Linked DNA regions of Callithrix jacchus. The protein of the gene in region 2 interacts with the protein of the main gene of each other region in a pairwise test. Links are inferred from orthologs where the notes say so. Each region holds a gene or a part of one and is shown on either strand. Other genes may lie near its edges.

Region 1 (3,756 bases), on a different chromosome or scaffold from region 2:
ACACTATTTAACAAACCAATCAATAATTTAGCCAATCTCGACTGAAAAAATAAAACGGTTTACAGAACATTTCATACCACCTAGGCACTCTAACACATGTTCAGGAATTCTGAACATGGATATTTGTGAGTACATAAATGCAGGTATTTTTCTGGGAAGTTAGTTCATAGTTTTCATCACCTTCTCACAGGGGTCTTTAACTTCCAAAAAGTTAAGACCATAATAATACTCACTACAATTATTTTCGTATTAATAAATCATTATGGGTATTTAAAAATTTACTTGCTAAAAATTATTTCCTTGAAACCATGCCAGGTAAGCAGTTTTAGAATAGACTGTCAGGTTGTAGAACAGCCTGTTATACAGAACTAAACAAAATATTTTAAAAATAGAAGAATCCTGTATGTTACAAGGTAAATAGCTATTTCCATATTGTAAAAAAAAATCCTAACATTTTATTCATATACATGCATTTCTACCTTAATATTTGTGATCAACATTGTGTGAGACCAACATTTGTGATCTAACTTCTCAACTAGCATCTACACACAAGAGAAACTGTTTATAAAACTTTGCTTTTTAGATTAATAGAATTTTAAAGTAATTTAGTCACCTGGAATATTTAGGCACAATATAGAGGCTCTAGATGATTTCATTATATTGGTTATTTCTGTAATTTCATATTACAAAATAGTAAGTAGGCGCATTAATTTTTTCAAAACACAGCTTTATTACAGCTTTACTGTAAATCAGATACATCTTTCTCTGTACACATTTTGTATGCTCATTAAAAGTTTGGTTCCCTAAATTGGTATGAACAAATATTGGCAAAATTGTTCAAGAATATTTTCCTTTGAAAAACTTATTACTATGTCTTTGAAAAATAACAGGTCTAAGAAATGCTGCAATATGGCAATTTTAAAGTCACTTATTCCGTAACAAACATTCCTATTTTAAGTAAAAAACCTAAGATTTTAATTTGTCCCTATGAAAAGCCTAAGCAATGTCATACTTAGAAAAACTAAAAGATGGTAGAAACAATGAAGATCTAAATGATCCTTATGTTTGGATAAAACTGGAGTGTTTATATTCTCAATAACAAAATATTTCCTTAGAGAAAAGAAATCTAGTATCTGACTTAAGTGAATAAAGCTGAAATGGTATTTTTGCCAGTGCTCAGGCAAATCACACAGATCAAGGAAGCTAACTGTACTTTTGATACGGCAAGTGAATAGGTGAATGTACAATCAAACCTTAAAAATGATATGTAATTCTAAAGTTGAACAAGCTACTCCGTCAAACCAAAAGCAGTTACTTTAAAAACATAAAAAACAAACAAAACCCTCTAATGGTCAATTCAAACTGGCTGTATAAATTGAGTTTTAATGGCTACAAAATCTTTCAAATTGCTAAGAGCACAACTGATTAAACTGAAGGACTGTATTTAGGGTGGAAAAAAAAAACCCAAAACCTATGTCAGTGACAATGTCCTAATGTGACAAAAAGCTTTTAGACAAAATGACAGCCGTCTTTAAAAAAGTGCAAAGAGATGATACCATTTCCCCATCTTCCAAACAGCATCCAAGCAATTTCCATCAAGATGCAATCTTATTAATCTCTGTATTAACCAGTGTTTCTCTTTTTCATCATCACTCCCTAAGGAGTCTTTTTATAATCCTAATCAACCACCTCCCAAATTTTCATACCAGGTATATTATCTGTTTATGTACAGTGTGTATATTCATGCTTTATAGATTTTTTTTGTCCCCCAGAACCATTTTGACAAGGAGCACGTGGTGCAAACAATGAAAAGTTTATAGTATTAAAACGTTTTTATTTGAATAAGCAGGGAGAAGAGAAATATATTTCAGCACTTAGATATGTAGATTATTTCCAAAATAGTTTAACACTCAACTAGTCAGTTCTGTCAAATCAGTTTTCCCCAAAGCAGGCATTGTTTCAGGGACAAGCAGTCCTCACTTTGCACAGTATCGTGGGACCATAAAAATAGCCATGCAAAACAATCTTAATAATCAATGGGGAAAATGACTGCTCCATAACCTTTAAAATTCTGCTAAAATATTAAAAACTCTTAAGATCACTTGTAAAAAATGCAAAAAAGTTTAAAACTATTTATGTAGTACAATGTTATTTAAAACATTAGAAATAGAATTAAACTGTTTTATTCCATTGTAGAAACTAGTTTGACTAGGGCTTGCCTTTTCTTCTGCCAAGTAACGTATGGTACTGAGTAAGCATCTTTTCTATTCATGGCAAACTGTCATACCACCTTTTTAAGTTTGGGTCAGCTTCCCCCTTTTATTGCTTGTGCTTTTGAAATATTTCTGTATTCACATTAAATATTCTTTAATGCATTTTTCCCTTCTTCTGGGACATATTTTTCTTTCCTGTTGCTGGAGTGCAGTGGCACAATCTCGGCTCACTGCAACCTCTGCCTCCTGGGTTCAAGCAAATCTCCTGCCTCAGCCTCCCGAGTAGATGGGATTACAGGTACATGCCACTATGCCAAGCTAATTTTTTGTATTTTTAGTAGAGATGGAGTTTCACCATGTTGGCCAGGCTGGTCTCCAACTCCTGACCTTGTGATTTGCCCACCTCAGCCTCCCAATTACGTGGCCTGTCTGTAATCCTTGGCTCATGGATTATAGGTGTGAGCCACTGCACCTGGCCGGGACACATTTATCTTTACTGCAACCACTTTTCCTACATGTACTGATAAGTTTGCCTTCGCTAAGCTCCTATGAATGAATAGCAGCAAGAACAACATTCCCATGATCAGTGACTTCTACAAGTCCATTTATGTTTGATTCAAATTTCACTTCCAGTGTTATTACTATTTTTCATTGCTTTGCTGCACTTTGATCTTTGTTGGCTAATTGTTCCCTTCTATAAAATGTCAAGTGGATGACAAAAAGACAGCATAACTACGTGCTCTGCTGTGAGTGAACCGAGTAACAGATGCGCAGGGACCAACCACTGGAAGAATTTGAAAGAAGTAACATGACTGGTTGCTGATCATGACCATGAAGCATATCTGTTGTTTACATAGTGATTTGTAGACTGAAGAACTAGCAGAGAAGTTTGTACCTCATGTAATTACTCATAGTTATACTGTGCTAACTAAAATTTTAACTTAGATTTAAACATCACCAGTTTTCTTTCCTTCCTGGTAAGGAAACTGGTGGTGTTTAAATCTAGGTCATTGAAATTTGTGCCCATGGGAACCATGCAAAGTGAGGACTGCCTACACCCTCTACTTGTGTATACTGATCCAGACAGGCTTAACACTGACTACTGAGAAGTAGCCTATTTAATTTATATCAAATAGTGAATCTTAAAGCACCGAAGATGAAAAATTACTGCACATTGAGGTGGTTTCAAAATCTCTGTCATTTGACAATCAAGCTTGAAATGTATCTTAGAGTAACAGAATTTTAGAAATAAAGACCTTCAAAGGCCCCATAGTTTGATACCACAGGTTAACCAGCATGTTTATTATGAATTATTTCTCCTCCTTCAATTTCAATTTGCTCATACAGCCATTTGCGGTCACAGCGGCATTCCGCTCCACATTTGGTAGAACCACAGGCAGGACAAGCGTAGAAACATCCTAAGCAATCTTCATCGAGGCAGTCACAGAGGTCCATCCCACTAAAAATCAGGAGCCCCTGGCTATCATAGACCTTACTCTTCGCTGGTATCACCTGTCTGTAAAATAAAACACAACGAATTATA
Region 2 (4,564 bases):
ACTTTTAGGTATATATCCTTGAGAAATAGCACATGTGCACAAAAAAAACACAAAGATTTTCCTTGCAGCATTGTTGTATGGTGAAAAACTAGAAACCTAATGTCCTCAAGAGATTGGAAATAAAATGTGCGATACAGCACACATCAAACAAAATAGGATTTAACATAAAGACCAGTAAAAAGAGAGAAATATTTTAACAGATCAATTCAGTCATACAACGGAACACTATGCAGCAGGTAGAAGAAATGATCCATAAATAACATAATGAGCTATAAACAGAGCAAGTCAAAACTCCCATGCTGATGGGTAGTTGGGATCATTGTCAAGAAATAAAGCTACAGAATGATGTAGTATGATATTTTTCCACTAAAAATATGTGAGCAGGTCAAAACTCCTGTGCTGATCAGTAGTGAGATCACTGTTAAGAAATAAAGCTACAGAATGATGTAGTATGATACTTTTCCACTCAAAAAATCACAAATGTATATATATTCACCTATATAGAATATGTAACAGTATTAAAAGGTGTAAATATTAAAAAACATTTGAAAGCTCTGTATCAAAGTCTCCATAAGGAGTAGGCAGGAAGAGGAGGAGTGAGGGAACATTCCTCGTACAAGAACAGACAATTTTTTATCACATAGGAACTTTCAAGCAGGAAAAATACAGGAGGCTACTCAACTGTTTTTATGAGGTAAGTATAATCTTGACACCCAAGGAATAACTCAAGGCCAAAATCTGGATTGTGCTCTTTATCTACAAAGTACCAATTTTGTAAAAGAACACAAAAGTGTACTTCGTTTTTAAAAATTAAGCATAAATGTTCAAAAAGGAATTGCCAATTTTAAAGCTTGTTATATCATATTGTCAAACTTTCTTCCAGAAAGGTTCTACCAATTATACTTCCACCTAAGCACACTCAGTAAGTTTTATATTTTTAGACACAAGGTCTCACTATGTTGCCCAGGCTGGTCTTAAACTCTGGGCTCAAGCAATCCACCCACCTCTGCCTCCTTAAGTGTTGTGATTACAGGTGTGAACCACCTCGCTGGCCATAGCTTTGTTTTTGTTGGTTTGTTTTTGAGACGAGTCTCGCTCTGTCACCTACACTAGAGTGCAGTGGTGTAATCTCTGCTCACTGCAGCCTCTGCCTCTGGGCCTCCTGGCTTCAAGTGATTCTCCTGCCTCAGCCTCCTGAGTAACTGGGATTACAGGTGTATCCCACCATGTCCGGCTAATTTTTGTATTTTTAGTAGAGACAGGTCTCATGTTGGTCAGGCTGGTCTCCAACTCCTAACCTCAGGTGATCCACCAGCCTCAGCCTCCCAAAGTGCTGGGATTACAGGCATGAGCCACCCAGGCCCGGCCCATAGCTTTATTTTTAAAAAACTCTCACCAGCGTTCACACCTGAAAATTTTAAAACAACTGAACGGGGCAAAAGTAAAACATGTTCCCTGCAGAAAATCTGCAAAATACAATAAAGCATAAAGGAGAAAATTTAAACACCATCTCATCATCCAGAGACAACTGGTGTCAATATTTCAGAGAGTAAATGGGCTTTAAAAACTTTTACCCCTTCTTTTTCATTTTGGCAGAAAAATAATCAAGGTAGTCTGCTTTGCTTCAATGTATGGTTTCTGTTTCTAAAAATAGGCTTTAAAAACACAGCATTTCCTCTCGGCTTCTGACGTTTTAATTATAACGACAGCAATAAACATTATTAAGAACCACGGGTCAGTCACTTCTAAATACTTCACGTGTTCTTATTTAATCCCCCTAACAGTCATGTGGGTTAAATTAGCAGCTCGTTTGCTGATGAGGAAGCTAAGGCACCTCATACCGTTAAGTGGCAGACAAAATAAGGAACCAGGCAGCCTAGTTTCAGAGCCTATGCTCTGATTACCCCATCTGACCTCTTCAAAGTTACTCCTCTCTTTGGCCTCATGAGTTAATATTTACAGAGCTCACTGCAGGTTTCCACATGCCGAAGAGCACAGTATTTTTCCTTACTTACTTATTGGGCTGTGGCTGATAGCGAATCATGAAGTGTTATTACTATCTAATCTGAACTCTGTGATCTTGGGTGAATGATGCTCTTGCTGCATTTATGGGCTCGTGTAATCTTACCTGTGAAATGGGCTAGTGGTTAAACCTTCAAGTTCTGCTTCTGGGTTTTATACTGCTGTTCATTTCCTGCCGTCCCTTTGACAACCTCAGGTTCCCAGCAGCTTTGAAATCACCTCTCATTAAAGCTGCTCCCTAAGACAGACAGACAGACAGGCTGAAATGGGGGTTGAGAACTCTGTGCCCGCGGCTCCTTCTACAGCCAGGACTGCACGTGGGTGCCCAGAGAAGGGAAGCTGCAAGGGCTGGGGTCCAGTCCTTGCTCCGGCGGCCGAGGGCTCCACGGCGTTTTCAGGTCCTCCGACCGCCAGACTAGAGGAATTGTCGAGGCCACCCACGGCGGTGCCTTGGTTTCACCAGGCTCCGCTGCGTTTTCTACGCCGCCCGCCTGACCTGAGGACTGAGCTCCGCCCGCTCGCTTGGCAAGGCTGGGTTCCTCTACGGGTGGGGCTCTCCTCCGACGCCGAGCCGCTCAGCCCTCCCGGCCCCGGGTGCCCTCTGGCCGGGAAGTACTTTACCGATTACCAGCCTTTACCTCAACCACAACAGTCCTGCCCCGCCTCCGCCGGGAACAAGGGAGGGCGGAACCTCCGCCCAGGACCCACCTAAAGCGATCACTACATAGAAGGAGTCGGACTCTGGCCGTCCCACCACCCAGCCAGTAACCCATTGATTGGTCTCACTCCCCACTGGGTATTTCCTCAGAGACTCGGCGCGCTTACCTCTGGCTCCGCAGTGGCGTCCGAACGCGCCGCCTCCCGATTGGCTGTCAGCGCTCTCGGTTTGACTCGCGCTCTCTGGCTGGGCCAATGGGGTTACTCGTAGTCGAGAGGCCGGCATCACTTGTGTAGTAGCGCGACTGTTTCCTCCAGTAGGTTCGGGGCTGCCATCTTGTGTGTGGCTGGGACTGGGCTTAGGGATTGAAAACTTACGCGGCTTGCCGTAGTGGAGGGGTCCCGGGAAAACGCTGAGGTAAAGGAGAGGCCTAAGGGAGGAGACCCGGCGCCTTCTCACTCGCGGAAATGATGGGTTTCCTGGGCCTGAGTCTCATCCCTTGCTAGAGAGAGCGAGGGATGGTGGTAATAGTAGAGATCCCCGGCTTTGGTTTGTTGGTCATTGTGGGAGCTGGGCGGGGTCTTTGATGCCTTAACATTAATTCCTTGATTCCAAAGTGCTCTTTCTGGAATCTTTGTCTCGCAAAGATTCCGACCATCAACCCCTTTTGACAAAAGAGTCTAGCTGATGCACTGCCTGATTGAAAAAAGGAACAATGCTGGTAATAGAAGGGGTGTGCCTCACTACTATCCTCAGATTCAAAAGAGACTTCCTCTTTTGACATGTTCGAGGGAGCGGCGGCTAAACTGTTTGCTCTTCGCGGGAGGTTACTCTGACTAAGGCCATTCTGTGGTAAGAGTGGGTGTCAAGTTCTGCGTGTGGGCAAGATTGTTCATTAGCGGGCAGCCAAGCATTCCTGCAGCTGTCTTTTTTTCTTTCTTTTTTTTTTTTTTTTTTAGCTAGAAAGTTGTGGTCTTGCAGAAAACAGGGGACGTGAAGGAAGAATTTTGTCAAATCTTGATTTCCCTGGTGTCGTTACGATGAAGATCTATAAATCTCTGGGTCTGCCATGACATGCTTGGTCGCTTCATGGAGCAGGAGGAGGCTTTGTTAGGGAAACCACCTTAATTTCTGAGCTCTTTTTGAGGTGGGAGGAAGGAGATAGAATTAACCTCTTTTTCCTTCCTCTTTTTTTTTTTTAATTGTAGTGGACGGCATGCATTGTCTTTCATTTGAGGAGAAAATATATTGGATCTGAAAACCACGCTGATGAAAGACTAATATTTTGTGGTAGATTTAGCAGTTTGACATGCATGAAAAGAAAGTCGATATATTATTGCCTTGAGCTTAGTTTTCAGTTATTCAGGATTAACTGATGAACAACTGAATCAACAATACATGATATAGACATCTCACATCAGGAATACCAAAACAAAACAAACAGTAACATAATTGATGGGTTTGTTTGTTTTTTGAGATGGAGTCTCACTCTTATGGCCCATGCTGGTTTGCAATGGCGCAGTCTCAGCTGTCTGCAACCTCTGCCTGTCGGGTTCAAGTGATTCTCCTGCCTCAGCCTCTGGAGTAGCTGGGACTACTGACATCAGCCACCATGCCCTGCTAGTTTTTGTATTTTTAATAGAGATGGGATTTCACCATGTTGTCCAGGCTGGTCTTGAATTCCTGACCTTGGGTGATCTGCCCTGCTTGGCTTCCCAGAGTGCTTGGATTACTGGCGTGAGCCACTGCACGGGGCCTAATTGATGTATTTAAAATTAATTTTGGGCAGGGCTCCATGGTTTATGCCTGCAATCCCAGCACTTTAGGAGGCCAAGGAGGGAGGATTGCTTGAATCCAGGAGTTCAAGACCAGCCTGGGCAACAG

Evidence for each region.
Region 1: the proteins of SETDB2 (region 2) and ARL14EP interact in binary tests that used the Homo sapiens proteins (3 or more experiments, as listed by UniProt). The two-hybrid records come from large-scale screens. The link is inferred for Callithrix jacchus from reciprocal best matches to the Homo sapiens genes SETDB2 and ARL14EP.

The regions. Positions count from the first base shown.
Region 1 is NC_133511.1:95,684,983-95,688,738, reverse strand, and holds the end of ARL14EP (ARL14 effector protein), read right to left. Parts: intron 3,730-3,756; coding exon 3,501-3,729; 3' UTR 711-3,500; downstream 1-710.
Region 2 is NC_133502.1:66,543,991-66,548,554, forward strand, and holds the start of SETDB2 (histone-lysine N-methyltransferase SETDB2), read right to left. Parts: upstream 2,890-4,564; 5' UTR 2,848-2,889; intron 2,817-2,847; exon of another isoform or gene 2,261-2,816; 5' UTR 2,129-2,260; intron 1-2,128. UniProt on the Homo sapiens protein: Histone methyltransferase involved in left-right axis specification in early development and mitosis. Specifically trimethylates 'Lys-9' of histone H3 (H3K9me3).